7 linked regions of the Cricetulus griseus genome follow. The protein of the gene in region 5 purifies or fractionates together with the protein of the main gene of each other region. This does not show direct contact. Links are inferred from orthologs where the notes say so. Each region holds a gene or a part of one and is shown on either strand. Other genes may lie near its edges. The genes, in order: Prpf3, Cd2bp2, Znhit2, Phb, Eftud2, pre-mRNA-processing factor 6 and Eef1a1.

Evidence for each region.
Region 1: the proteins of Eftud2 (region 5) and Prpf3 purify together in Homo sapiens (affinity purification with mass spectrometry; 3 studies listed by BioGRID and IntAct, with this or other methods). This does not show direct contact. The link is inferred for Cricetulus griseus from reciprocal best matches to the Homo sapiens genes EFTUD2 and PRPF3.
Region 2: the proteins of Eftud2 (region 5) and Cd2bp2 purify together in Homo sapiens (affinity purification with mass spectrometry; 7 studies listed by BioGRID and IntAct, counting the BioPlex papers as one, with this or other methods). This does not show direct contact. The link is inferred for Cricetulus griseus from reciprocal best matches to the Homo sapiens genes EFTUD2 and CD2BP2.
Region 3: the proteins of Eftud2 (region 5) and Znhit2 purify together in Homo sapiens (affinity purification with mass spectrometry; 4 studies listed by BioGRID and IntAct, with this or other methods). This does not show direct contact. The link is inferred for Cricetulus griseus from reciprocal best matches to the Homo sapiens genes EFTUD2 and ZNHIT2.
Region 4: the proteins of Eftud2 (region 5) and Phb purify together in Homo sapiens (affinity purification with mass spectrometry; 3 studies listed by BioGRID, with this or other methods). This does not show direct contact. The link is inferred for Cricetulus griseus from reciprocal best matches to the Homo sapiens genes EFTUD2 and PHB1.
Region 6: the proteins of Eftud2 (region 5) and pre-mRNA-processing factor 6 purify together in Homo sapiens (affinity purification with mass spectrometry; 6 studies listed by BioGRID and IntAct, with this or other methods). This does not show direct contact. The link is inferred for Cricetulus griseus from reciprocal best matches to the Homo sapiens genes EFTUD2 and PRPF6.
Region 7: the proteins of Eftud2 (region 5) and Eef1a1 fractionate together in Homo sapiens (co-fractionation; 4 studies listed by BioGRID, with this or other methods). This does not show direct contact. The link is inferred for Cricetulus griseus from reciprocal best matches to the Homo sapiens genes EFTUD2 and EEF1A1.

The regions. Positions count from the first base shown.
Region 1 is NW_023276806.1:60,675,367-60,677,923, forward strand, and holds the end of Prpf3 (U4/U6 small nuclear ribonucleoprotein Prp3), read left to right. Parts: intron 1-487; coding exon 488-549; intron 550-1,706; coding exon 1,707-1,853; 3' UTR 1,854-2,057; downstream 2,058-2,557. UniProt on the Homo sapiens protein: Plays a role in pre-mRNA splicing as component of the U4/U6-U5 tri-snRNP complex that is involved in spliceosome assembly, and as component of the precatalytic spliceosome (spliceosome B complex).
Region 2 is NC_048596.1:73,578,484-73,582,435, forward strand, and holds the start of Cd2bp2 (CD2 antigen cytoplasmic tail-binding protein 2), read left to right. Parts: upstream 1-1,152; 5' UTR 1,153-1,307; intron 1,308-1,760; exon of another isoform or gene 1,761-1,766; 5' UTR 1,767-1,789; coding exon 1,790-1,867; intron 1,868-2,062; coding exon 2,063-2,198; intron 2,199-2,314; coding exon 2,315-2,472; intron 2,473-2,574; coding exon 2,575-3,010; intron 3,011-3,088; coding exon 3,089-3,195; intron 3,196-3,273; coding exon 3,274-3,384; 3' UTR 3,385-3,952. UniProt on the Homo sapiens protein: Involved in pre-mRNA splicing as component of the U5 snRNP complex that is involved in spliceosome assembly.
Region 3 is NC_048596.1:53,289,625-53,293,012, reverse strand, and holds Znhit2 (zinc finger HIT domain-containing protein 2), read left to right. Parts: upstream 1-1,411; 5' UTR 1,412-1,647; coding exon 1,648-2,844; 3' UTR 2,845-2,888; downstream 2,889-3,388. UniProt on the Homo sapiens protein: May act as a bridging factor mediating the interaction between the R2TP/Prefoldin-like (R2TP/PFDL) complex and U5 small nuclear ribonucleoprotein (U5 snRNP).
Region 4 is NC_048600.1:108,826,563-108,830,811, forward strand, and holds the start of Phb (prohibitin), read left to right. Parts: upstream 1-1,449; 5' UTR 1,450-1,540; exon of another isoform or gene 1,541-1,638; intron 1,639-1,945; exon of another isoform or gene 1,946-2,019; intron 2,020-2,566; 5' UTR 2,567-2,593; coding exon 2,594-2,681; intron 2,682-4,249.
Region 5 is NC_048600.1:115,257,214-115,260,713, forward strand, and holds part of Eftud2 (116 kDa U5 small nuclear ribonucleoprotein component), read left to right. Parts: intron 1-240; coding exon 241-306; intron 307-1,019; coding exon 1,020-1,055; intron 1,056-1,721; coding exon 1,722-1,812; intron 1,813-2,607; coding exon 2,608-2,690; intron 2,691-3,500. UniProt on the Homo sapiens protein: Required for pre-mRNA splicing as component of the spliceosome, including pre-catalytic, catalytic and post-catalytic spliceosomal complexes. Component of the U5 snRNP and the U4/U6-U5 tri-snRNP complex, a building block of the spliceosome.
Region 6 is NC_048599.1:292,795-296,294, forward strand, and holds part of pre-mRNA-processing factor 6, read right to left. Parts: intron 1,531-3,500; coding exon 1,436-1,530; intron 1,093-1,435; coding exon 936-1,092; intron 27-935; coding exon 1-26. UniProt on the Homo sapiens protein: Involved in pre-mRNA splicing as component of the U4/U6-U5 tri-snRNP complex, one of the building blocks of the spliceosome.
Region 7 is NC_048597.1:189,545,580-189,549,695, reverse strand, and holds the start of Eef1a1 (elongation factor 1-alpha 1), read left to right. Parts: upstream 1-1,316; 5' UTR 1,317-1,349; intron 1,350-2,293; 5' UTR 2,294-2,327; coding exon 2,328-2,471; intron 2,472-2,582; coding exon 2,583-2,762; intron 2,763-2,841; coding exon 2,842-3,138; intron 3,139-3,221; coding exon 3,222-3,372; intron 3,373-3,456; coding exon 3,457-3,713; intron 3,714-3,800; coding exon 3,801-4,035; intron 4,036-4,116. UniProt on the Homo sapiens protein: Translation elongation factor that catalyzes the GTP-dependent binding of aminoacyl-tRNA (aa-tRNA) to the A-site of ribosomes during the elongation phase of protein synthesis.

The sequences.
Region 1 (2,557 bases), on a different chromosome or scaffold from region 5:
ATGTTTAATGCCCTGGGCATTGGGCTGTGGGGTGGGGATGGAGTGGTGAAGAAAGAAAAGATGTTTAGTAAGGCATGACTGTTGAAGCTTGTAATCCCAGCACTCAGTAGACTGCATCAGGAGGATGGTCTCAAATTGAAGACCTGCTAAAGCTACAGAGTTAGACACCCTATCTTTTAGAAAAAGAAAAAAAAAGCCAGGTGGTGGTGGTACTCTTCTTTAATCCCATTGAGTTCCAGCATGGTCTACAGAGTGAGTTCCAGGACAGCCATGACAGTTACACAGAAAAACCCTGTCTTAAAAACCAAAAAAAAATAAAATTAAAAAAAAAAAAGAACAGAGCCAGGTGGTGTTGGCACTCTCCTTTAATCCCAGTACTTGAGAGGCAGATGTAGGTGATCTCTGTCAGTTGGAGGCCAGCCTGGTCTATATAGTGAAATCTGTCTCAACAAACAAAAGAAAGATTGAGCTCTTCTGTCTTTTCCAGATGATGAGGAATCTGATGAAGAAGCTGTGAAGAAAACTAACAAATGTGTACTAGTATGGGAGGTTGGTAATCTTTATAAAATGCTGAAATAGAAAGTTAGCTGGAATATTTAGAGCAATTTGTAGTACATACCAACTGGAAATGTTTTAAAAAGTGCTGATGTTAAGAATACAAATTCTCAATTGGAAATTACATATTTCCAAGCCTGAATGTGAGAGGGGAGTAAATTTTATTTTCCCCCTCTGGGTGTAGTAAAACATAGGGCTAGATCTAAGAATCTGATGGTGGATGGGTGTGTAGCCTGGGAGTGTAGCTCAGTGACAAGAGTGCTTCTCTAATATTCATTGGAATCCAGAGTTTGACCCTCAGCTCTGCAGCAAAACAAATAGGTTGCTGACAGAGTGTCAGTCAGCTATTCGATCTGAGTCAGACAGATTCCTTTGCCTTATCTATTAAATATGGGTGTTATTCAGTCTCCCTGATTTGTTGGTGTGATTGAGAATGAATTAAAACAGGCCCAAATCCAACTCCCTACACTCACATTGGGGGTGCTTACAACCTCCTGCTGGGAAAGAGTGCTGAAGGCTAGTAATATTACTCAGTATAGACTCAGTATATGACTGACAACACCAGTTCAATCCTTAATACTCACGGGGGGGGGGGGGGATGTTTTAGTTCTGGTTCTAAAAACAGTAACAATAACAAAAAAAACCAGAAATCCATATGTCTAATCATGCAAATATCTATAAGATGGGGTTATAATTATCAGAGAATCATGTCAGTGAGTCATTTTGCTACACACATGTTATCAGGTCTCTCAAAAGAATATTATGTCAGTACACCTTGAATCCCGGAATCCCAGTGCCCAGGGGCAAAGGCAGGGAAAATCTCTAAGTTCAAGGCATGCCTGGTCTACAAGTTCCAGGACAGCCAAGGCTACACAGAGAAAATATGTTTCAAAGAAAAAAAAAACAAAAAACTATGTCTTGTTTAAGTAAGTTGAAGTGGTGGAGTGCTTTCCTAACATGAGTAAGTCTCTAAGTTCAATTCCCAACACTGGAATTGGGGGATAGTTAGAAAGCTTACTAAAATTCTTGTCTCTCCTCAGCATGATGGTGTATTAGGATGCTGAGGTAGGATTTGTAATTCAAGGGCAATGTGGCCTAATAACAAGTTATTGCTTTCAAGTAAGTAAACAAAGTTTTTTCTTCTTACCTAGGGTACGGCCAAAGACCGGAGCTTTGGAGAGATGAAGTTTAAACAGTGCCCTACAGAGAACATGGCTCGTGAGCATTTCAAAAAGCATGGGGCTGAACACTACTGGGACCTTGCACTAAGTGAATCTGTGTTGGAGTCTACTGACTGAGACTACTGCTAGCCCTGTGTCTCCTTGGCCTTTTTTTCCTCTGCCTTCTCACTCTACTTTCCAACCTGTCCCCCCTTGCGAGTGTGATCTCAGAACTGTGCCAGGCAGTCATTGGGGCAAAGAGACTACCTTGTTTACCCAGTCAGCCTGGTGCTACCCTTCATCCTGTATGTGCATATGATTAAAGAGTTATTTTTAAACTTAGTGTGATGTTTTTCATATAGCAATAGGTATTAGGGTTTAGTTCTGTGGGTGATATTCTTTTTACCTAGGATCCCAGCAGTTGAAGTCTTTAAATATCTGACCTCATCCTGAAGCACAATGATAAGTACAGTTTTCTGAAGCAAGTAAATCAGAAGGTGATATTAAGCAATTATGAGATGAATGATAAAATACTTTTTTTTGTTTTGTTTTTAGAGACAGGGTTTCTCTGTATAGCTTTGGAGCCTATCCTGGTACTCGCTCTGGAGACCAGGCTGGCCTCGAACTCAAACAGATCCGCCTGTCTCTGCCTCCCGAGTGCTGGGATTAAAGGTGTGAGCCACCAACAGCCGGCTGTAATTTTATGTTTTGACTATTCATGTCACTACATGCTGCACGCCCAAGGAGGACAGTAGACAGCACTGGAATTAAGACAGCTGTGAGCTGACATGTAGGTGTTGGAATTGAACCTGGGTCTGCCACAAAAGCAGACAGTGCTCTTA
Region 2 (3,952 bases), on a different chromosome or scaffold from region 5:
CTGGGATGCACCATAGTGCCCAGAGCTGGTGTTTCAGGCATTCTGTAGCAAGATGCCCTCCTGGGCTAGGACCTGTGTTCTGTGCCCGTGGAAGAAACTGAGGACACAATTCCAAGTTTCATGGTGATTCAGAATGGAGAAAATCCTGCAAGAGAAAGGTGTGGTCCATCTGGCCGCCCTCATCCAGCTCTTGCAGGATCACCTGAGCTATCTAGCCTGGGGGGGAGGTGTTCTGGCTTTGAGTTGTTCTCAAGAGCTCCAGATCTAGACTTCACTAGACAGGAAGATCTCACCTGGCTCCACCTCTGCAGGAGCGGGATTCCATCACCTTAGCATTTTGCTGAGGGGTGGGGTAGACTTCACCTTGCAACTGGATGTACCCCAGAGTAGGGCATTATGGGCTTCTGGCTGGGTACTGCTCGGATGCCAATGCTACTTCCTGTTATAGTTCCCCTGCAGAAAGAAGGAATTGAATGGGAACAGACATGGGGCTGGGTCCTAAAAGGAGCTAGATTTGGAAAGTGCCTAAGTATTGACAGCCAGAAACAGGACTCAGGAAAAGCAAGAATTTTTTTTTTTTTTTTTAAAGAGACATCTCACGTTGTATCCCCGATTGGCCTCAATCTCGCGACAATCAGTCCTGCTTATTTCCCGAGCGCTGGGACTGTGTCAAGCTTGGAAAGCAGGGTTTCTATTGAATTCCGTTGGGCGCAAAGAGCCCTATATAGAGAGTCAGACTGGAGCCCACAGCTTCTGCTCGGCCTTTGTCCCTCCATCCAGGACTTGGGAACCTCTTTTTTTTTTTGGTTTTTGAGGCAAGGTTTCTCTTTGTGACTTTGGAGGCTGTCCTGGAACTAGCTCTGTAGACCAGGCTGGTTTCGAACTCACAGAGATCTGCCTGCCTCTGTCTCCCGAGTGCTGGGATTAAAGGCGTGCGCCACCACCGCCCGGCCTTCAGCACCTCTTTAAGCAGACAGAGCGTCACGTCCTCACCTGAGTCTCCATTTCAGAGGAATAACAAACACTTGCCGCCATCCTCAAGCTAAGTAAGGCTGGGGCTGGTATAGGAGTTCACGCGAGTCTTTTGGGGTCTTACGTCACTTCCTGCGGAGACTGTCTTGACCAAATGTACACATCCGCCCGTTCCGACAGTCTTTTGGATGGGAGTGAAGCAGCTTCCGGCCTTATGGAGGTCTCCACAGTCTCCTTCCGGGTTATGGAGGCGAGTGCCCCGGATGTAATACTGGCGAAAGCATCTTTCCTTTCTTTCCCCGCCTGACCCCGGGCTCCTCGGTGAGCGCCAGCCGGTAAGACTGTTCGAATCCCTGCGAATTTGCTTCCTCTCTAATTTGTGCGCCGACTCTGACATGGTCTAGCAGCTCGCTGCGTGGAACTGGGGGTCCTAAGCAACCAGGGCGCCAGCTCTTGGGTCCGACCGGCCTCTGTGGGCACTCGGGTGGGAGCTGGGGGAGCCCTGTAGCTCCGCACTGGTAGGGGAGTGGTGACGTAGGGGAGCCTGGCTTTTTTTCCTGCGTGGGAGTACGCACAGGGTCCGCGCGGGGGCGGAGATCCGCCCGTCAGGGCCTCTGAATGAATTGCCAAACCAATTCCCGACGACCCGCCTGCTAGCGCTTGAGATGGTTCAGTGACCCTTCCTCGCTCAAACGGGACCTGGCGCTTACCAAGGAAAATGTGGTGCCACAGCGCTCTCGCGGCCGGCTCTCCTTACCTAATTTTCTTACTCCGTATCCTTTTCCGAGGTCCAGCTGGAGGAAGTGTTCTGCCAGTCATGCCAAAGAGGAAAGTGACTTTTCAAGGTGTGGGAGATGAGGATGATGAAGATGAAATCAGTGTCCCCAAAAAGAAGGTGAGATGGTCAGACTCCTAATGTCTGTGGAGGACTGAGGAGAAATAAAAGGAAGGAAAGCTGAGAAGCGAAAGAAAGGGTTAGTTTGCCCCGGTGCGCTGGGTTTGGTAGGTTTTCAGTTTGGATACAGATCCTGGAATATTTGGGAAGCTCGCCAGTAGGTTGCCTTTCTCATTTGCTGGTTTCTACTCACAGCTGGTGGACCCTGTGGCTGGAGCAGGGGGTCCTGGGAGCCGCTTCAAAGGCAAACACTCTTTAGACAGTGATGAGGAGGATGATGATGATGAAGGGTCCAGCAAGTATGATATCCTGGCCTCAGAGGATGTAGAAGGTGAGTTATTCCCAAAACATTAGCTGTGTTGGAGGGCAAGTCTGATTATGGAGGTGGGAAGTGTGCCTGTCTCTTTTTTGCATGCCTAGCATGGGGCCCCCATGTCTTTGGTGCAGGTCAGGAAGCAGCTACTCTCCCTAGTGAGGGGGGTGTGAGGATCACACCCTTCAACCTGCAGGAAGAGATGGAGGAAGGCCACTTTGATGCTGATGGCAACTACTTCCTGAACCAGGATGCACAGATCCGAGACAGCTGGCTGGACAACATTGACTGGGTGTGGCCCAGGAGCTGTCCTGGCTGAGGCCTGGGAATGCAGGTGCTGGGCCTGGGCCCTGGTGGAAGTTTGTAGGAAATAATAATTATCTTTCCCTTATAGGTGAAGATCAAGGAGCGGCCACCTGATAAGCACCAGGTTTCAGACTCAGAGGAGGAAGACAGCCTGGGTCAGACTCCGATGAGTGCCCAAGCCCTCCTGGAGGGACTTTTGGAGCTGCTGTTGCCAAGAGAGACAGTGGCTGGGGCACTTAGGCGTTTGGGGGCCCGAGGAGGAGGCAAAGGGGACAGCAAGGGGACTGGACGGCCCAATTCCCCACAGCGCCTAGACCGGCTCTCTGGGTTGGCTGATCAAATGGTGGCTCGAGGCAACCTTGGTGTATACCAGGAAACAAGGGAACGATTGGCTATGTGTCTGAAGGGTTTGGGGTGTCGGACTCAGGGATCCCATGACCCCACACCTCCACCCTCCCTGGACATGTTTGCTGACGAAGTGACAGAGGGAGAACTGGAAACCCCGACCCCTGCGCATAAAGGAGGTAAGCTTTTAGGACACAGGAGAGGCAATGCCAGTGGGAGACTGGGCACTTAAGGCCGATACGTCTTTGTTGTCTTAGAAGCAGAGTCAGCGGGAGATGGTCTAATGGATGTGATGTGGGAATATAAGTGGGAGAACACGGGGGATGCTGAGCTGTATGGACCATTCACCAGTGCCCAGATGCAGGTCAGTGGCTTCCTCCTGTCTTGTCTGTCCATCCCGACTTCTGTCATCTTTCCTAAGTTTTGTCCTCTCTTCTTACAGACCTGGGTGACTGAAGGCTACTTCCCGGATGGTGTTTATTGCCGGAAGCTGGACCCTCCAGGTGGTCAGTTCTACAATTCCAAGCGCATTGATTTTGATCTCTACACGTGAACCTGCTAAGGGCCCAGTGTGGTAGCCCCTTTTTCTTGGACTTGGCAGAGGAGGCCCCAGCTGCCCTGGGCAGTGAGGATCTTGGAAGCTACTCTTCAGCCACTTTCCCTTTCCCAATAAAAGCCTTGAGTGTGCATCAGGGCCTTGATGTGCTGGTAGCCAGAAGCCAGGGCTCCTCCGTAGCTCCTGTTGGCTTACCTGGCCCTTGAGTGTCTCCTCCTTCCTTAGATGCTTCTCTCTGGTGTCTTGGACCACCTCGGTTTGTTTTCCGCCCTTGGTGGCAGTAGTAGGGCCCGTCAGGTGTCCTGTGACTTGCCATGTCAAATTCCCTTCAATCACTCTATTCTCCTATCTCCCCTGCAAGTCCTTGTTTTGCTGATCTTCAGCTTTTAGGACCTCAGATTCTCTGGCCTAGTAACCCCTTTGCAGCTGGGACATTTGGAAAAGTTTGAGATCCTATTGAGAACACTCAGGAGGCCTCTTAAACATGGGTTCTCCTCTTCTCCCTAGTCTGATTTTTCCTTCCCTTGCAGTAGCTCCCATAGCTCTTAGGTGAAGCATGAACTTA
Region 3 (3,388 bases), on a different chromosome or scaffold from region 5:
TGTTTTGGAGAGGCAATGATTAAAGGGAGGGGAGGCCTTGGTTAGAAGGTGAATCGGTTTTTACTGAATTTGGGACCAGCTGTACTATCAATAAAAGTTCAAAACACGGGCTGGAGAGATGGCTCAGAGGTTAAGAGCACTGACTGCTCTTCCAGAGGTCATGAGTTCAATTCCCAGCAACCACATGGTGGCTCACAACCAAACCTTATGAGATTTGGTGCCCTCTTTTGGTGTGCAGATATACATGGAAGCAGAATGTTTTATACATAATAAATAAAATCTTAAAAAAAAAAAGTTCAAAACACAAGGAGCATCGGGTCCCTCGGCATTGGAATTGTCTGATTGCACTGGCATCCTGATCTTGTCTGGCTGAACTTGATCACAACTGTGACTGAGAAGCTGATTAAATGGTTCCACCCTTAGCACCAGGCTTCCACTACACCCAGATCCCATTGCATCTTGGAATGCACCAAGGAGTAAGGCCAAAGAATAGTTGGACACTCCATTCCATTTAAGCTTTGTGAGAGATACTGGTCAAACTGTAAAATGCGCTGCAACCAGTGTCTAACCCATTGTAGACTCTGAATAGTGACTGTCTCAGACTCATTGTTTAGCCATTAGCTTTTTACTATAGTGGGTGTGGGTATTCCCACATTCTTGTTAGGACAGCATTCAGGAGTGTACCAGGGATTTGGAGGCAAATGGTTTTTATTAAGCCCAGGCTAGTTTTGGACTCTTAATATTCCTTTCCCAGCCTCCCAAATGTTACTAGACTACCACATGCTGTGTAGACTACCACACTTGGCCTGAGCAGTGCTTAAGGGTCAAATTCCCAACTCAGGTTCTTTGTAGAGGAAAAGTATGAAACTATGTAGTTTGCGATCCATGCATAGTGGCACATACCATTAATCCCAGTTCTGAGAGGAAGAGGCTAGCCTAGCCTGGTTTACAGCGCTAGTTCTAGGAAAGCCAAGGCTACACAAACCTCTGGTGGCAGTCAGGGGTTGGGTGGGGATGGGTGGCACAAAACAAATACTAGGAATTGAATTTCAATCCAACTTGGAGGTTGGGCTGCCCCAGTTTGTTATATTGATATGTTAAGTATCTTCGGGGCTTCTCTGTGGCTTCGGAGGCTGTCCTGGAACCTGCTCTTCAGATTCTTTGTCATGCCTGGTTTATGATTTGGTTCTTGTAGGGTTTTTATTATTTTGGGGGTATTTTCAAGACAGGGTCTTACTGTAGCTCTGACTATTCTGGAACTCACTGGGTAGACCTGAAACTCAGAAATCGCCCTGCCTCTGGGGACCTGGTGCGGGGATTAAATTAAAGGCGTGTGTCGCTACACCCCTAAGATTCTGGATTTTTTTTGTTGGTTGGTTTTGCTTAAAAGGTAGTTTATTTTTGCACAATTTGGTAAAACCACAGGGAACAAGCTGGGATCAGCGACATTAATCTTCTAACTCTCGAGAGCCACCGTGTTGGTTAGACCTTGGGCGTGTTCTGCGCATGCTCAAAAGGCTACTCTAGAGACGGAAGTTACCGAGAAGGTACGTCGCCCCACGCACAAAGGCGGAAATAACCGAAGAAGCACCGGAAGTGGCGGAGCTACGTCTGCTGTGTGGTGCCCGACACGCGGCGCCAGTTGCCATGGAGCCCGTAGGGCTCTGCGGCTTCTGCCCAGGCGGGGAAGCTTTGCCGGCGCGCTACACCTGCCCGCGCTGCAACGCGCCCTACTGCTCGCTGCGCTGCTACCGGGCGCATGGCTCCTGCGCCGAAGACTTCTACCGCGACCAGGTGCTGCGAGAGCTCCGCGGCCGGAGTGCCTCTCCCAGCCGTCTGGCGGGAGCACTACGCCGGCTACGCGAACAACGGGAGACCGAGGATGAGCCCGAGGAAATAGGCCTCAGGCCCGGCCCGCGGCCGAACGGCCTTTCTGGACTCTGGGAAAGCTTGTCACCGGCTGAGAAGGCGGCGTTCGAGCGGCTGCTGAGCCGTGGCGATGCTGGACGCCTTCTGCCCCCGTGGAGACCCTGGTGGTGGGGCCGCGGGGGTGGCCCGCGATTTATGGAGGAGTTGGATCGTGCCCCGGGCAGGGATCTTTCGGAGCCGGAGACCGCCCCAGAGAGCACCGCGCCCGAATCTGTGGATGATGCCGCCGCGGTGCCTCTTGCTGAAGACTCAAATGCCGCCGTGCCGCCCGCAGTGCCCTCCCGTATCCCAGCGCTGGCCAGCCTGAGCCGCTGCCCGCCCTCGCCACTCGTGCGATTCCAGCTGCCCAATGTGCTGTTCGCCTACGCTCACACTCTCGCCCTGTATCATGGAGGGGACGACGACGCTCTACTCTCTGATTTCTGTGCCACACTGCTCGATGTTTCTGGAGCCCTGGGCGCCCAGCAAGTCTTTGACTCTACGGAGGAAGCCCTGCAGGCCGCAGCCCACGTGCTGGAAGCGGGTGAACACCCACCTGGGCCCTTGGGTACGCGGGGTGCTATGCAAGAGGTTGCTCGTATTCTGCTGGGCGAGGGTCCTATCAACCAGAAAGGCTACACGCTGACAGCACTGGGGCACCTGGCCCAAACCCTGGGCCGAGCCCGGAAACAGGCTGTGGTTAGCGAAGAACGAAATCGCCTTTACCGGGCTCGGAAGAAGTGCCAGTTCCTCCTAGCCTGGACCAACGAAAATGAGGTTGCTCTCACACCACTGGCTCTAGACTGTGCCAGGGTCCACCGAGCCCATGCTGTCACAGCCGAGGAGATGGCAACCCTTACTGGGGAGCTGGAGCGGCTTTGGGGAGGCCCGGTACCACCTGCTCCAAGGACTCTCATTGAGGAGCTCCCTGGCTGAGCTGGGTGTGTGGTATTAATAAAGCTGTCACTGGTCTGTCCAAATGTTGGCAGTACCTTTATTTTCTTCAAAGACAGTACCCTATCCTAGACTTTCCTTGAAGTCACTGTGTAGCTGATGACCTTGAACTTCTGAGCCGAGCCTGCCTCTACCTTGACAGTGCTGGGATTACAAGTGTTAAGTCACCTTGCTAATTTATGCAGTGCTGAAGGTCAAAGGCTTCTTGAATGCTAAGCAAGCATTCTATATAACAACTACATCCCCCAGGCCTGAAGTGCCCATTTCTGAGAGAAACCAGTTGTTCCACGAAGCTACCCTGGACACACAAACCACTTCCCTAGTACAGCTTCCCTAGTCAGCTAGTTCTCTACCTCTCTCCCCCAAATCACTGACCCCAGAATAGAAGAAAAACAAGATTGAAAACATTTATCCAGCAGGGAAAAGTATTTTCATATGGGAGCAGTGGTTCCCTCTTCTTGCGTCAGACTCTGAGGCTGGTCATCCCTGCCAAGTAGAATGGGGTGCAGGCCCTTCACCCCACATG
Region 4 (4,249 bases), about 6.4 Mb from region 5:
AACTCACACAGTGGAAGGAGAGAACCAACTCCTGTAGGTTATCTTCTGACCTCCACAGGTACACTGTGGCCACACACATATGCACACTCAAATCAATAAATCAATGTCTGCATTTTTATTTTATGGACATAGGTGTTTTGCTTGCATGCATGTCTGTGTACTACTTACGTGCCTGGTACCTCCAGAGGCCAAAGAAGGCGTTAGACCCCCCAAACTGGAGTTATAGACAGCTGTGGGCTGCCATGTAGGTGCTGGGAATTGAACCCAAGAGCTTTGGAAAAGCAGCCAGTGCTCTTAACCCCTGAGCCATCTCTCCAACTCCATAAATGTATTTTTTTAAACTCCATTTTGCTATTTCCAATTGGAGATGTAAAAATGGGGCTAGAAAGACGTTTGTTTTCAGTAAGTACTCAATGAGTGTTTATTGAATAGGTGTAATGCAGTCTCTTCCTTCCAGCCAAATAATCCTCCTCCATTTCTGCCTGCCTCTGCCTCCTGAGTGCTGGGATTAAAGGCACATGCCACCATGCCCAGCTTGTTTCATGTCTTTTATGTTTGTGTGTATATACACATATTCTCTTAAGAGTTGTGTATTTACACAGCAACATGTCCATGGGAAATAAACACAGCACTTCATTTCAGATTTTATCGAAGCGTGGAGAGGAATTCTATAAAAGTCGCTATTTGCTCAATTGACAAAATCGGAGTACAGACGTGGATTACATTTACTCAAGTAAGAGGGTGTCCTTGTATTTAGAGAGCAGTAGGAGAGAGAAGAGGGGAGCACAGGGAGAAGAAAGTGCTGGGAAGAGAGAGGGACAACAAAAGTAACAACAAATGCGTCTTGACAACAGGTGAGCTTAATAGGTATACATGTACATGTTCTCCGTCCCATTCTTTCAATTTCTCAAGTACAACTTTTAAAAGGTGGAGACAGGAGAGTTAGACCCTAAGTCAAGTCCTTTTGCTGGAGTAGTGCAAGACCTGAATGAGTCTCTTCTTTCTAAGCCGTTTCTAAGGTCCCGAAGCGGTTCTGGAGATCCAAGTCTCACGCCCCTGAGGCCGTCCTTAGCTTCCCTAGGAGTTTCCCAGCCCATCAGTTATCCCACCTCACCTTTTTCCAAAACGCCCACCCAGTTACTTCCGCCACCAGGTGGAAGCCCAGCTCCTCTCAGATCCAGCCCGTACCTCTCTTCTAACAGCAATCACCTCGTTACGAACTACGCACGTGCACTTATTACCAAGGAACTGCAACCCCCGAAAGGCTTTGCGGCAACATCCCATCATCAGTTGCCACCAAACGGAAGCAGGTTTCCTGCTCAGGCCCGCTGCTGCATAACCTTTTGGGAGTTGTAGTTGACCTCAGGAAAGCAACAGGGCCCGCGGAAGACTGCAAACCACGCTTCCCAGGATGCGTTGCGCTCCGCTCCACCAATTGAAGGGACGGATCTTGAAGAGGGCGGGGGAAAGGGAGGAGCTGCCTGGCGCACGCGCAGTATGCGAGTCTGGGGAATTCATGTGGAGGTCAGCGTGAAAGCGGGTGAGCGTGGAAGGGGTGGTGCAGGCCGCTGTTTGTGTGTCCCTGTAATCCTCCTTTGCTCTCCTGGGTGCGGTGGGGGTCATGGAATGCACGTGAGGGTACGCCTAACGGAGAAGGGGGGAAAGGCTGAGTCCAGAACGATCCATGGGTTGTGCAAGGGGAGGGGGCGGGATAAGGAAAAATCCAGAAGCCAGTAGAAAATAGAAAGGACTGGGTGTCTTAGTGTCAGGGGTGGAGGGTAAATGTGCGCGGAGAAAACGGGATAGACTCTCAGTTGAGTTCTGGGGAAAGGGAGGGAGGATTTGAAGAGTGCACCGAGGGCGACGCAGGGGCGGGGCATGAAAAAGTTCAAGGCTGAGTGGTTTCTAGTCTGTCAGCTACGTGCTCCCACCCACCCACCCGCCGCCGCAGCCCCACCTCCAGGCCTTCGCTGCCCTGCCTCACTGCACCCCTGCCAGCTCCCGCTTTCCGATTAACAGGTATGGGGAGGAGTTTTACAATGCCTTCTAGAATTCAGTCTCCTCATTCCAACCCTGGTTCCATACGAATAGTGTACCCTCTCCATGCACCTCACCAGTAATGCTTTTCATAAAGAAACTGAAGGTTAAATAAAACCGTTGGAGGCTGCCTAACTTAAATGTTAACAGGAATTGTCCTTTTCGTTGTTGGCATAACCCTTGTAGTACATTACTGGCTTTTCCAAAACCAAATGCACAGAGCCAGCCATACACAGTCTCTTGTGGCCTATTTGGCTAGGAAATGGGAGTGTGGTTTACTGTGGTACTAAGTTCTCTGTGGGTACGACACATCGTTCCTACGATGAGCCAAGTGTCCCAGACGCCTACAAAAGCAAACGAGATACTACATTTGCAAGATGTTGAGTGTCACGGGGTGTTCGGTGAGTTAAGTTAGAGCTCACAGGAGTAGATCCATGAAGATTTATCGTGAAAAGTGAATGCTGTGCCCCAGAGAGGGCTTTCTCCGAGGATTTCGTGTCAAGTTGTTTTATTTTTACCCCTTGTTTAGGTGTGAGTGGGTGCAACAGAAGGAATTATGGCTGCCAAAGTGTTTGAGTCCATCGGAAAGTTCGGCCTGGCTTTAGCAGTTGCAGGAGGCGTGGTGAACTCTGCCTTATATAATGGTGAGCGGGTGGTGCTTTCTGTTGATCTGCACAGCCAATTGAAATTCCTAACGGCTAGCTCTGTCTGAAGGTGTGTGTGGTGAAGTGGGCTCACCTGCTGTTACCCCACAAACTATGGTTGTGTGTAATCAGAGGCCCGGCCTTCATGTAGGCAGTGGTTCTCAACCTTCCTAGTGCTGTGACCCTTTAATACGCTTTCCTCATGTTGTGATGACCCCCAACCATAAAATTAAATTTGTTACTACTTCATAACTGCAATTTGGCTATTATGAATCTACTACTTAATAGTGTAACAGAATATGTAAAAATCTGTATTTTCTGATAGTCTTGGGTGAACCCTGTGAAAGAGTCAACCCCGCCCCCCAGGGCTCAGGTTGAGAGCTGATGACTTAGATCCTTTGCTCAAGAGGAGCCTTCCTGTCCAGTTGCTGGCTGGATGTTTCTAGAACTTTAGCCAGTTTGAAGTGATGCTCTGTTACCCAGATGCCTCTGCAGAGCAGCCCAGCAGGATCTCATTGGTTATCTTCTGCTGCATGTGGGGTGAAATAATTTGGCAAATTCTCTCAGCTTGAGAGACCTTGTCCTGAGAAAGAAGGTTTTGCTCAGCTAGTTGCAGAGAAAGTAATTTTTTGAGATGCATTACTGGGTTTTCTTTGTATTATATTGCCTTATAGGCAAGTCCCTCCTCCTAGTCCTCTGCTTTTACATTGGTCAAACAATGGGACTGAACTAGTTCTCTTAAGATTCCCTCCAACTTTGATACTCTTTCAGAATTCCAACAAATTTTATATACTTTCTGTATGGTTTGTTGCTTTTTTTTTTTTTTGAGACAGAATCTTACCATGTAGCTCTTGACTGGCCTGGAACTCTATGTAGATTAAGGTGGTCTAGAACTCACAGAGATCCACCTGCCCCTGCCTCCTGAGTGCTGGGATTAAAAGTGTGCTCCTCTGTACCCAGCTCAAATGCAGTATAGTGGCTTAAGCAACTCAGAGCTGCATCCTGCTGATTTGTTTTTTAAGACTATGTCTCCTGTAGCCACGTTTGTCCTTGAACTCCTGAACTTCTTGCTTCTGCCTATATGACTTTTGAATGAGTATTATTATCAGACTGTAAGTTTTTAGGCCAATTCTCAATTCAAATATGAAAAGAGGCAAAGTAGCTACTTTAGCCAGGTTCTGGTGGCAGACTCCTGTGACCCCAGTACTCGTGAGGCTGAGGTATAAGGATCTTGAGTTCCAGGCCCACCTGGGCTACATAGTGAGACCTTGTCTGAAAAAGTCAAAGACGAAAGGGAGGGATCTGCTTGGCTCATGAGTTATAACTTGATGTCATAGTTTGTGTAGCTTCATCTATACAGCTAGACTAGTCAGCATTTTAAAATTTCTCTCTGAGTCCACAGGACATGTTGTTGGACCCCCTCCAAAAGTTAGAGAAACAGCTATTAGAAAGATGCTGGGTAAACTGGCCATAGTGGTGTTTACCTTACCAGCACTCTGAGGCAGAGGCAGAGTTTGAGGTTAGGTTGGTCTACATAGTGAGTTCCAGGACAGCCAGAGCTACATAGT
Region 5 (3,500 bases):
AGCCTTACTCTGGTTTTTATAACCTTTTATTTCCTGAGGGAGGTCTTCCCAAGAAAGGTTTCATCTTTCATTGAAAAATAATCTTGTGGCTTCTGTGTTAATCCTTTGCTGTCCCATAATCCTCTTTGTTTTCCTCTTCTTCCCTTCATGCCTGAATTACATGGTGTGTTGGGGGCTTTGGAAAGGGGGCATAGATTTTCCTCTGTAATTGGCAGGTCTCACCCATCTCTTCTCTTTCAGACGTGTTTTGTAGATTGCTTGATAGAACAGACTCATCCGGAAATCAGAAAACGCTATGACCAAGATGTGAGTGGAACTTGGGCCGAGCTGTTTGGGGTGGAGGGGATGCCTCACTCCTTCCCTTCCTTCACCCTGCACTCATAACCAGTGTGTGCAGACTGCTGCTGTGTGATTATACTTTATTAATAGGTGTAAGCACATCATTTCGACTTTCTCAGGAGCACAGAGAATATTAACCTGCAGTTATTTTAGATGAACTGTTTCGCATTTGGGATCCCGCCTCAGTGATGTATCCTGACTTTTATAGTCTCTTCTTTCCTGTCGTTTTATTAATAGCCTGTTCTATAAATATCATACAATTGGACCTTGTTGTTTTCATGGTAAATTTAAATGCCTGTGAACAAGGCCAACAGTGGCGGCTAGTCTCAGTGCAATAAATGTTCAGACTCTGTCAGATTGACTGTTGTGACATGTGAGACTTGACTGTTGGAACGAATCTCCCTTTTCCACTCTTTCAGATCCAGTGCAGTGCGTCTAGCTTATGTCTCCAGCCATGCATGGTCTTTAGTGACCGCTCACCCTACTCCCACCCCTGCACACATGCAAGAACATTTTCTGTCTTGAGGGGCACTGGCCTCACTGTCAGGAATTACTGTGGGAACAGCCTGCTGTCTTCAGTAGGGTTTCCCCTTGGGAAGCCCCTTGAGTTGGGAGGAGGTGAGGGAAGGTGATTGATGGAAGTCTGAATTCGGGTTGTAACAGCACTGAATTTTTTTCAGCTGTGCTATACTGACATCCTCTTCACAGAGCAAGAGGTAAGGTGCCTTGGGAAATTAGATTTTGCTTACAAAGGCCCACCACCATAGTTTTGTAGAGAATGTGGGGGGAGGACTCCCATAGCACTCCCATTTAGCCTTGCCCAACAGTTCTGCAGCTCTCAGTCACCCCATAACGAGAACTGGGAGGGCCAGCTGGAGCACAGGTGGGGAGCCTTCCAGTCCTTGAGTAGATTTAATTTTGCCTAATAAGACATACTGAGAGATGGTGTCCAAATTTGCAAAACTCTACATGATCTTTACAACATCCTGACAATCCCTAAGATGCCTACTGTGTGCATCTCCTTCCTGGAGAGGCTTCTCTGTGGACAGCTTGTGGGACCATTGTGATTCTTTCCTTCTGGGTTTCCCTTCCTCCTCATCACCTCTTCTCTTCCCCTCCTTTTTTTTTTTTTTTTTTTTTTTTTTTTTTTTTTTTTTATCTATCCTCTTTTCCCTCTTCAAAGCAAGTTCCAGGACAGCCAGGGCTATTCGTTACACAGAGAAACCCTGTCTAGAACCACCCCCCACCCCACCCCCCCAAAAAAGGAATTAAACTTGTTACAAGGAGAGACATCATTGTAGTTAACCAGCAATTGGCAAACCCCAAGAGCTGGGTGAATTCTTCTGTACGGGAAGAAGCCTTGACCAGTGTCTACCTTTCAGAGAGGTGTTGGCATCAAGAGCACTCCGGTGACGGTGGTGCTGCCGGATACCAAAGGGAAGTCTTACCTCTTCAACATCATGGACACACCAGGTGGGACAGCCAGGGCCCTTCGCTGTCACATCCTGTCTCATTTCCTGTTGTGTTCCTTTCCCAAAGCAATACAGAGTGGGACATCTTGACTTTGTACTCTCTTCACCTTTGTTGAGTTTTCTTTTCAAGGATTCCCACTTTGACAAATTACCAAGCATGATCCCTATCCTTTGATTTCACTTCTGTTTTTACTTTTCTATGGAATTTTCAATTTTAGGGATCCTGTGTGTTGATTGATTTTAGTTTATGTCAGACCCCATCTGACATAAATCAACCTCATCGCAGGCCTTCAGCATGCTCAGTCTTCTAGAAAGCGGGCAGTGAGCACCAGGGTGCAGTGAGCCTTGCTGCTGGCTCGCTCTTTTATGGAAAGGGCTGACTTAACACAAAGTTGTTTTATTTAACATGTGGGCAATTTGGAGTTTAGCAGATTTGCCTTCAGGACACCGTCTTGTGCCAGGGCCTGATACTCTCAAGCCCCTGCTCACCCTGTCCCCCAATAGCACCATGCTCTGGGCCTTTCCCTGCCTCCAGAGAGTCATAGCTCTTGCAGAACTCTGTTGATTGCTGATCAAACTAAGTTGGTGTGTCAGCTGCTTTACCTTCTCTGTGTGGAGACCTGTGTGTGAAACCTTAATCCCAGGTTGAGACTCTAATGGGAGAAATGGATACGCTGCAAGGTGCTGTGGACTGAGGAGGAATATTTGGGTTCACAGACTTTGCAGTGCTCCTCAGGTCATCCTGCAGGTTAACTGCCTCATACCCCTAAGTGATGACTGGATATTTGCTTTTCAGGACACGTGAATTTTTCTGATGAGGTCACAGCTGGCTTGCGAATCTCAGATGGGGTGGTCCTTTTCATTGATGCTGCTGAGGGGGTAAGTTAGTCCCCTGTTACTATGCCCCTACATATCACTCAAATTGCCATGTGAGCTAGGAGGCAGCAAACATGAAGGTCTGTGTGATAAATCTCAGGTTTGCTCTAAATTTAGGGAAGCAAGTGATGCTCAAAATTAGAGATGGGAGTTGAAATTCTTTTATATTTCTAAACTGAAAAAATTGGGTAATGCCACTAACTTTATATAGTCACCAGTGTCACCAGCAGAGGGAGTCAGAGGCACCTTTTTAAAAACCTCAAGCTCAGTTAAACACAGGTACAATCTGCTCACTGTTAACTGTTCATGATGTTTCTCTGTACCCAGAGATGTGCTCTCCTATGTATAAAAGTATTCACAGACCTTTGCTTTCTTTCTGTTGTGTTTTGTAATGAGATGAGATCTTACTCGGCCTGGCTCTGTTTGTTAAGGCACTTGGTGCCAGCCTGGTGACAGGAGTTCAGTCTTGAACCCACACATGATAGAAGCAGAGAACCGGCTTCCAAAAGTTGTCCTCTGACCTCCACACCACCACATTATGTAAACACTTCCACATACATAAAAATAAGTAAATAAATGTGATTTTTAAAGTTAAAAAGAGGCAGGGGTGGCACATGCCTTTAATCCTCGCACTCAGGAAGCAGAGGCAGGTGGATCTCTGAGTTCCAGGCTAGCCTGGTCTACAGAAGTTCCAGGACAGCAGGAACTACACAGAGAAACTCTTGTCTTGAGGGAAAAAATAAAAAGAAGAAGAAATCTCATTATGTAGCCCAGGTTGACCTGGAACTCAGAGATCTGCCTGCCTCTGCCTCC
Region 6 (3,500 bases), on a different chromosome or scaffold from region 5:
GCTGCTTCTAGCCAGACATCTTCACTCTGGGACAAAAAAAAAGCAGTAAGAACAGCCTGGAAACCATAAGGAAGACATAGGTTACTCTGGGGCCCCCAAATTTTGTAAGGATCATCAACGTGGCCATAAATACATACTTATGAGAGTTCACCCGGTAATTACACAGCTCAGAAATGTGGCTACCATGTCAGGATGAAAGACAAACATAATCCTTCACAAACAAAAACAAACAAACAAAAATACAATTTACAGTAGGCAAAGTCTTTGGAAAAAGCAAAGACCCTATGTCTGCCTGGGAAGTTCTGATTTATGCATAACGTTCGGAGAATTCCACAAAGGGTTTCTTTCACTCTCAGGAATATCTAGTCCATACAGTAGAGCATTTGACGTTTACTTGGTTTCATAGTACTTTTTAATCTTGTCTAATCATCCCACCTCCCAAAACACAAGTGCTGGAATATATTAAGAGCTAGCACTAACCTGTAAGTTTTTTTTTCCAATTTACTTATTTTTATTTCATGTATATAGGTGTTTTGCCTGCATTCATATCTAGAATAGGGCATCAGATCCCCTGGAACTAGAGTTATAGACAGTTGTGAGCTGCCATGTAGCTGCTGGAAATCAAACTCAGGTCTTCTAGAAAAGCAGCCAGTGCTTTCAACTGCTGAGGCATCTCCTGCTTCAACCTCTAGGTTTCTTTTATTATGTGATGTAACAAGCTGCTCAGTTTATCACTTTCAGTGAAGCTTACCCTGCCATTACAATGGTGGGTCAGTCTCTGTTCCATATAAAAACAAGCAAGAAACTCCTTTCCCTCTATTTACAACCTTGCTCTTGCTCCATTTCTCCAGTATACCACGCCTGGCAGAACACAAAGGATTTTCTGGAAGCCAGAAATCATGTAGCTGTTAAGAGAAATATGCTATAGGCTTCACCTTGGGGCACATCTCTGTCCCCTTCATAATAAGATTCCGAGCCACTTGTAGCTTTCCAGTGACTTCTTCCAGGCGAGCTGATGCAATCCAAGCTGGTGGGTGATGAGGGTTTGTTTCTCTAACAGATTTGAGAAGTAGCCGTGCCTTCTTAATGTCACTGTAACAATGAGAAGGCACAAAAAAATTAGGCCACACTACTAGAGATGTGACAAGAACCAGGGAGAAGGCACCCCCTTCAGACACAAGGCATAAATTGCTAAGAATCAGGAAACATGAGACAATTAACAAGCAGCTTTCTAAGCTCATCACAGGCACTGACCTTAAGATATTATTTGTAAAATATTTAACACACACACACAGCAAATGAGTAAAAATATATTCCTATAATTCTCAGAAAGTCCATGTCATATTTTGACTGCGTATTTCTTTTTTTTAAATTCCACAACATACTAAGCAATTAGAGCTCCCATTTCAACAGACCAATTCTGCAACATACTCACTTTATGTCCCCTCCGTGGGTTGGGATCATAGAATTTAGATCTGTCAGATAGCCTTTGGGGTCCACAACAGTTTGCCCACTCACTGAGTCAGACACCTGTGAGATAGGTAAAAGTGAACATCAGCTAGACATGACCATCAGTGTCTACAACAAAGAATTAATTAACAAGGACCCTGGAGACCTTCCTAACAAATGTGTCCAAGAATAAGCAGCCAGGAGGAAAACAATCTTATTGTAACTCAGACAACGGTCGGTGGTTAGGAAAATGTCTTCTATGGGGAAAGTGTAGAAATCTTCTACAAGGATTAATATTTGGGGGGAGGTATAGGATTGAAGAAGAATGGCTTCCATAGACTCATGTGTGAATAGCTGGTCCCCAGTGGGTGAAACTATTTGGAGAGAATTAGGGGGTATGGTTTTGTTGGCAGGCCACTGGAGGTGGGCTTTGAGGTTTCAAAAGACTTGTGCCAATAAGACAATGGTGGCATATGCCTTTAATTCCAGCACTTGGGAAGCAGAGGCAAGCAGAGTTCGAGGTCAGCCTGGTCTACAGAGCAAGTTCCAGGACAGCCAAAGCTACATAACAGAGGAAACCATCTTGAAAAACAAAAAAACAAAAAAGACTTGTACCATTCTCAGTGTGCCTCTCTCTCTGGCATGTGGTTGTGGATCAAGAATTTGAGCTCTAAGCTGTTCCTTCACTCCACCATCATGGACACTTAACACTCTTTTTTGAGACAGGGTTTCTCTGTGGCTTTGGAGGCTGTCCTGGAACTAGTCCAAGCTGGTCTCGAACTCACAGAGATCCACCTGCCTCTGCCTCCTGAGTGCTGGGACTAAAGGCATGCGCCACCACCGCCTGGCTGCTCTTAACACTCTTGATATGGAATAGTTACTTTAACTATGTAAAGATGTGTTACATTTATTTATGTTGTGGAACATTACTTTAAGTAGGCAAAGATGTATTACTTTTGTTATGGTGTATTTGTTTAATTATGTAAAGATGTGTTGCTGTTTCACCTTGCCTGCCTAAGGCTCCTGATTGGTCTAATAAAAAGCTGAACAGCCAATAACCAGACAGAAGAGGGACAGGCAGTGCTGTCAGGCAGAGAGAATATGTAGGAGGAGAAATCTAAGCTCAAGAGGAGGAGAGAACAAGGGAGAAAGAGAGGGGAATGCCCAGGTCCAGAAGTCAGGCAGCTGCCAGACAGACAGACAAAGAGGAAACAGGAAAGTAAGATATACAGAATGAAAGGTAAAATGTAGATAAAGAGAAACAGATAAAAACAGAGCTAAAATAAAGCCAAGCAATCATAAAAACCAGTCTTCACATCATGATTTGGGAGCTGGTTGATGGCCCAAAAGAAAGCATATTACACACTCTGAAATCACAAGCCAAATTAAATGCTTTCTTTTATAGGTTGCCAGGGTCATGGCGTTTTATAACACCAATAGAAAAGTAACGAAGACGCAAAGAGATCCCAAAAGTCCCAGGAAAAAAACTCAAGTAGACATATATAATAAAAATGTCTTTCCAGCCAGGTGTTGGTGGCATACACCTTTAATCCCAGCACTCAGGAGACAGAGGCAGGCAGATCTGAGTTCGAAGCCAGCCTGGTCTACAGAGTGAGTTCCAGGACAGGCTCCAAAGCAATACAGAGAAACCCTGTCTCGAAAAAGAAAAAGAAAAAGAAAACAAAACAAAAAAAAAAAATGTCTTTCCAATGTTATGAAATAATCGTTTTATACACTGAGAAGATGTGTCTTTGCTAAAGCACCTTCTGATTGGTTTAATAAAGAACGGAATGGCCAATAGCTAAGCAGGAAAACATGTTAGGAGGGACTTCTGGGGACATAGAGGTCTCGGGAGAAGAAGAAAGGCAGAGTCACCAGCCAGACACAAAAGAAGCAGGATGGGCAGTACAGAGTAAAGGTAACTGAGCCACATAAAAGAATGTAGATTAAAGATATGGGTTACTTTAAGTTATAAGAACTAGTTTGGAGCCGGGCGTTGGTGGCGCACGCCTTTAATCACAGCACTCGGGAGGCAGAGGCAGAGGCAGAGG
Region 7 (4,116 bases), on a different chromosome or scaffold from region 5:
ATCTCCACAACCCCATATTCCATTACAAAATACCTTTTCACCGTCCCTAGCATTAAGAAACAAAACAACAAAGAAGTTTTTCTTTCTTCTGAGATCCTGCCCGGAGAGGCATTTAAAACTGGCCAGGGCCAAAAAAAAAAAAAAAAAAAAAGAAAAAAAAGAAAAGAAAACAGGCTAGGGCCGGCATGGTGGCGCACGCCTTTAATCCCAGCACGCAGGAGGCAGAGGCAGGGCGGATCTCTGTGAGTTTGAGGTCAGCCTGGTCTACCTAGTGAGTTTCAGGGCACCCAGGGCTAAAGAGACTGTCTCAAAAACAAAACAGCCACACAATCAGAACCACAGCAAAACGCAGTTATGATCCTTGGAACTGTAGGAATGACAAGCATTTAAATAATAGGACGAGCCATTTTTGAGAAGCTCTGATTTCACAAGTGTCAGGGATGGGCTCTGGGCGAGTAAGATTGCTAATGCTGGCCTCTAAATGAGACCACGTGGAGTTGATTAGATTCTTTTCATGTTCCTCGTGCTCTATCAAATAACTGTACCCAAATACACACACACACACACACACACACAATGCGCGCACACACAAAATCCTTTTTTAGCTTAAGAAGCCCAGAATCAGAAGTAAAGCTAACTGTGGGACTTAAGTATTATTCTGAACGGAACTCCCAGGGCGTGAAGCGCGCTTCAGGCTTCCAGAGAAGCAGCTGGCGCTGGATGGAATGAACCAAGAGGCCAGCACAGGGGCAGATCCGTCGAGCTCTCGGCCACCGAGCTGAGCCCTTAGGTTCTGGGGCTGGGAAGGGTCCCTAGGATTGTGCACCTCTCCCGCGGGGGACAAGCAGGGGGATGGCGGGGCTGACGTCGGGAGGTGGCCTCCACGGGAAGGGACACCCGGATCTCGACACAGCCTTGGCAGTGGAGTCAGGAAGGGTAGGGACAGATTCTGGACGCCCTCTTGGCCAGCTCCTCACCGCCCCACCCCCGACTGGAGCCGAGAGTAATTCATACAAAAGGAGGGATCGCCTTCGCCCCTGGGAATCCCAGGGACCGTCGCTAAATTCTGGCCGGCCTCCCAGCCCGGAACCGCTGTGCCCGCCCAGCGCGGCGGGAGGAGCCTGCGCCTAGGGCGGATCGCGGGTCGGCGGGAGAGCACAAGCCCACAGTCCCCGGCGGTGGGGGAGGGGCGCGCTGAGCGGGGGCCCGGGAGCCAGCGCGGGGCAAACTGGGAAAGTGGTGTCGTGTGCTGGCTCCGCCCTCTTCCCGAGGGTGGGGGAGAACGGTATAAAAGTGCGGTAGTCGCGTTGGACGTTCTTTTTCGCAACGGGTTTGCCGTCAGAACGCAGGTGAGTGGCGGGTGTGGCCTCCGCGGGCCCGGGCTCCCTCCTTTGAGCGGGGTCGGGCCGCCGTGCGGGTGTCGTCGGCCGGGCTTCTCTGCGAGCGTTCCCGCCCTGGATGGCGGGCTGTGCGGGAGGGCGAGGGGGGGAGGCCTGGCGGCGGCCCCGGAGCCTCGCCTCGTGTCGGGCGTGAGGCCTAGCGTGGCTTCCGCCCCGCCGCGTGCCACCGCGGCCGCGCTTTGCTGTCTGCCCGGCTGCCCTCGATTGCCTGCCCGCGGCCCGGGCCAACAAAGGGAGGGCGTGGAGCTGGCTGGTAGGGAGCCCCGTAGTCCGCATGTCGGGCAGGGAGAGCGGCAGCAGTCGGGGGGGGGACCGGGCCCGCCCGTCCCGCAGCACATGTCCGACGCCGCCTGGACGGGTAGCGGCCTGTGTCCTGATAAGGCGGCCGGGCGGTGGGTTTTAGATGCCGGGTTCAGGTGGCCCCGGGTCCCGGCCCGGTCTGGCCAGTACCCCGTAGTGGCTTAGCTCCGAGGAGGGCGAGGCCCGCCCGCCCGGCACCAGTTGCGTGCGCGGAAAGATGGCCGCTCCCGGGCCCTGTAGCAAGGAGCTCAAAATGGAGGACGCGGCAGCCCGGCGGAGCGGGGCGGGTGAGTCACCCACACAAAGGAAGAGGGCCTTGCCCCTCGCCGGCCGCTGCTTCCTGTGACCCCGTGGTGTACCGGCCGCACTTCAGTCACCCCGGGCGCTCTTTCGGAGCACCGCTGGCCTCCGCTGGGGGAGGGGATCTGTCTAATGGCGTTGGAGTTTGCTCACATTTGGTGGGTGGAGACTGTAGCCAGGCCAGCCTGGCCATGGAAGTAATTCTTGGAATTTGCCCATTTTGAGTTTGGAGCGAAGCTGATTGACAAAGCTGCTTAGCCGTTCAAAGGTATTCTTCGAACTTTTTTTTTAAGGTGTTGTGAAAACCACCGCTAATTCAAATCCAACATGGGAAAGGAAAAGACTCATATCAACATCGTTGTCATTGGACACGTAGATTCAGGCAAGTCCACCACAACCGGCCACCTGATCTACAAATGTGGTGGAATCGACAAACGAACCATCGAAAAGTTTGAGAAGGAGGCTGCCGAGGCAAGTATTCGAAGGGAAAAGGTCGGGGGGGGTGGAAATCTACCGTAAGCAGGAAATTGTTTATTTAGAAACTAGATGTTTTGAGTGTACTAACTGCGAATCACTGAACAGATGGGAAAAGGCTCCTTCAAGTATGCCTGGGTCTTGGACAAACTGAAAGCTGAGCGTGAGCGTGGTATCACTATTGACATCTCCCTGTGGAAATTTGAGACCAGCAAATACTATGTGACCATCATTGATGCCCCAGGACACAGAGACTTTATTAAAAACATGATTACTGGCACTTCTCAGGTTTGTGAAATTTACTACCTTCTGACCCTTACCTCCAGCTGGAAAGCTTTGTTATTAACGGGAGGTAACTTTTTCTTAGGCTGACTGTGCTGTCCTGATTGTTGCTGCTGGTGTTGGTGAATTTGAGGCTGGTATCTCCAAGAATGGGCAGACCCGTGAGCATGCCCTTCTGGCTTACACCCTGGGTGTGAAACAGCTAATTGTTGGTGTTAACAAAATGGATTCCACCGAGCCACCTTACAGCCAGAAGAGATACGAGGAAATTGTGAAGGAAGTCAGCACCTACATTAAGAAAATTGGCTACAACCCTGACACAGTAGCATTTGTGCCAATTTCTGGTTGGAATGGTGACAACATGCTGGAGCCTAGTGCTAATGTAAGTGACTTGAAGAAGGTGGTTAAATGGAAAAGCTGTAAGGGGGGAGAGATTATAAAACATTTGGCTACTCTGCATTTCAGATGCCTTGGTTCAAGGGATGGAAAGTCACCCGTAAAGATGGCAGTGCCAGTGGTACCACACTGCTGGAAGCTTTGGATTGTATCCTGCCACCAACTCGTCCCACTGACAAGCCACTGCGACTGCCCCTCCAGGATGTCTATAAAATTGGTGGTAAGTAGAGCATTCGGACACTGGACTAAGATGTTTTGAGGTGTGTTCAGTTGTCTTCACCTTATATACTGTAAATGTTTTTAGGTATTGGGACTGTTCCTGTGGGCCGAGTAGAGACTGGTGTTTTAAAACCTGGAATGGTGGTTACCTTTGCTCCAGTCAACGTTACAACAGAAGTAAAGTCTGTTGAAATGCACCATGAAGCTTTGAGTGAAGCTCTTCCTGGAGACAATGTGGGCTTCAATGTAAAGAACGTGTCTGTCAAAGATGTCAGACGTGGCAACGTTGCTGGTGACAGCAAAAATGACCCACCAATGGAAGCAGCCGGCTTCACTGCTCAGGTAAACAAGATAGGTGTCAAGAGTGTAATATTGATAGCAGCATGCAAAACCTGAAGGCAAGATTTAACCAAATGCTGTTTCTTTCAGGTGATTATCCTGAACCATCCAGGCCAAATTAGTGCTGGCTATGCTCCTGTACTGGATTGTCACACAGCTCACATAGCATGCAAGTTTGCTGAGCTTAAGGAGAAGATTGATCGCCGTTCTGGTAAGAAGCTGGAAGATGGCCCTAAATTCTTGAAATCTGGTGATGCAGCCATCGTTGATATGGTTCCTGGCAAGCCCATGTGTGTTGAGAGCTTCTCTGACTATCCTCCACTGGGTAAGTAGAACTTAAGTTTCTGTTGCACTGAGTATTGTTTGGATATGAAATGCTGTATGAACAAGTGCTCATAACTGTTTC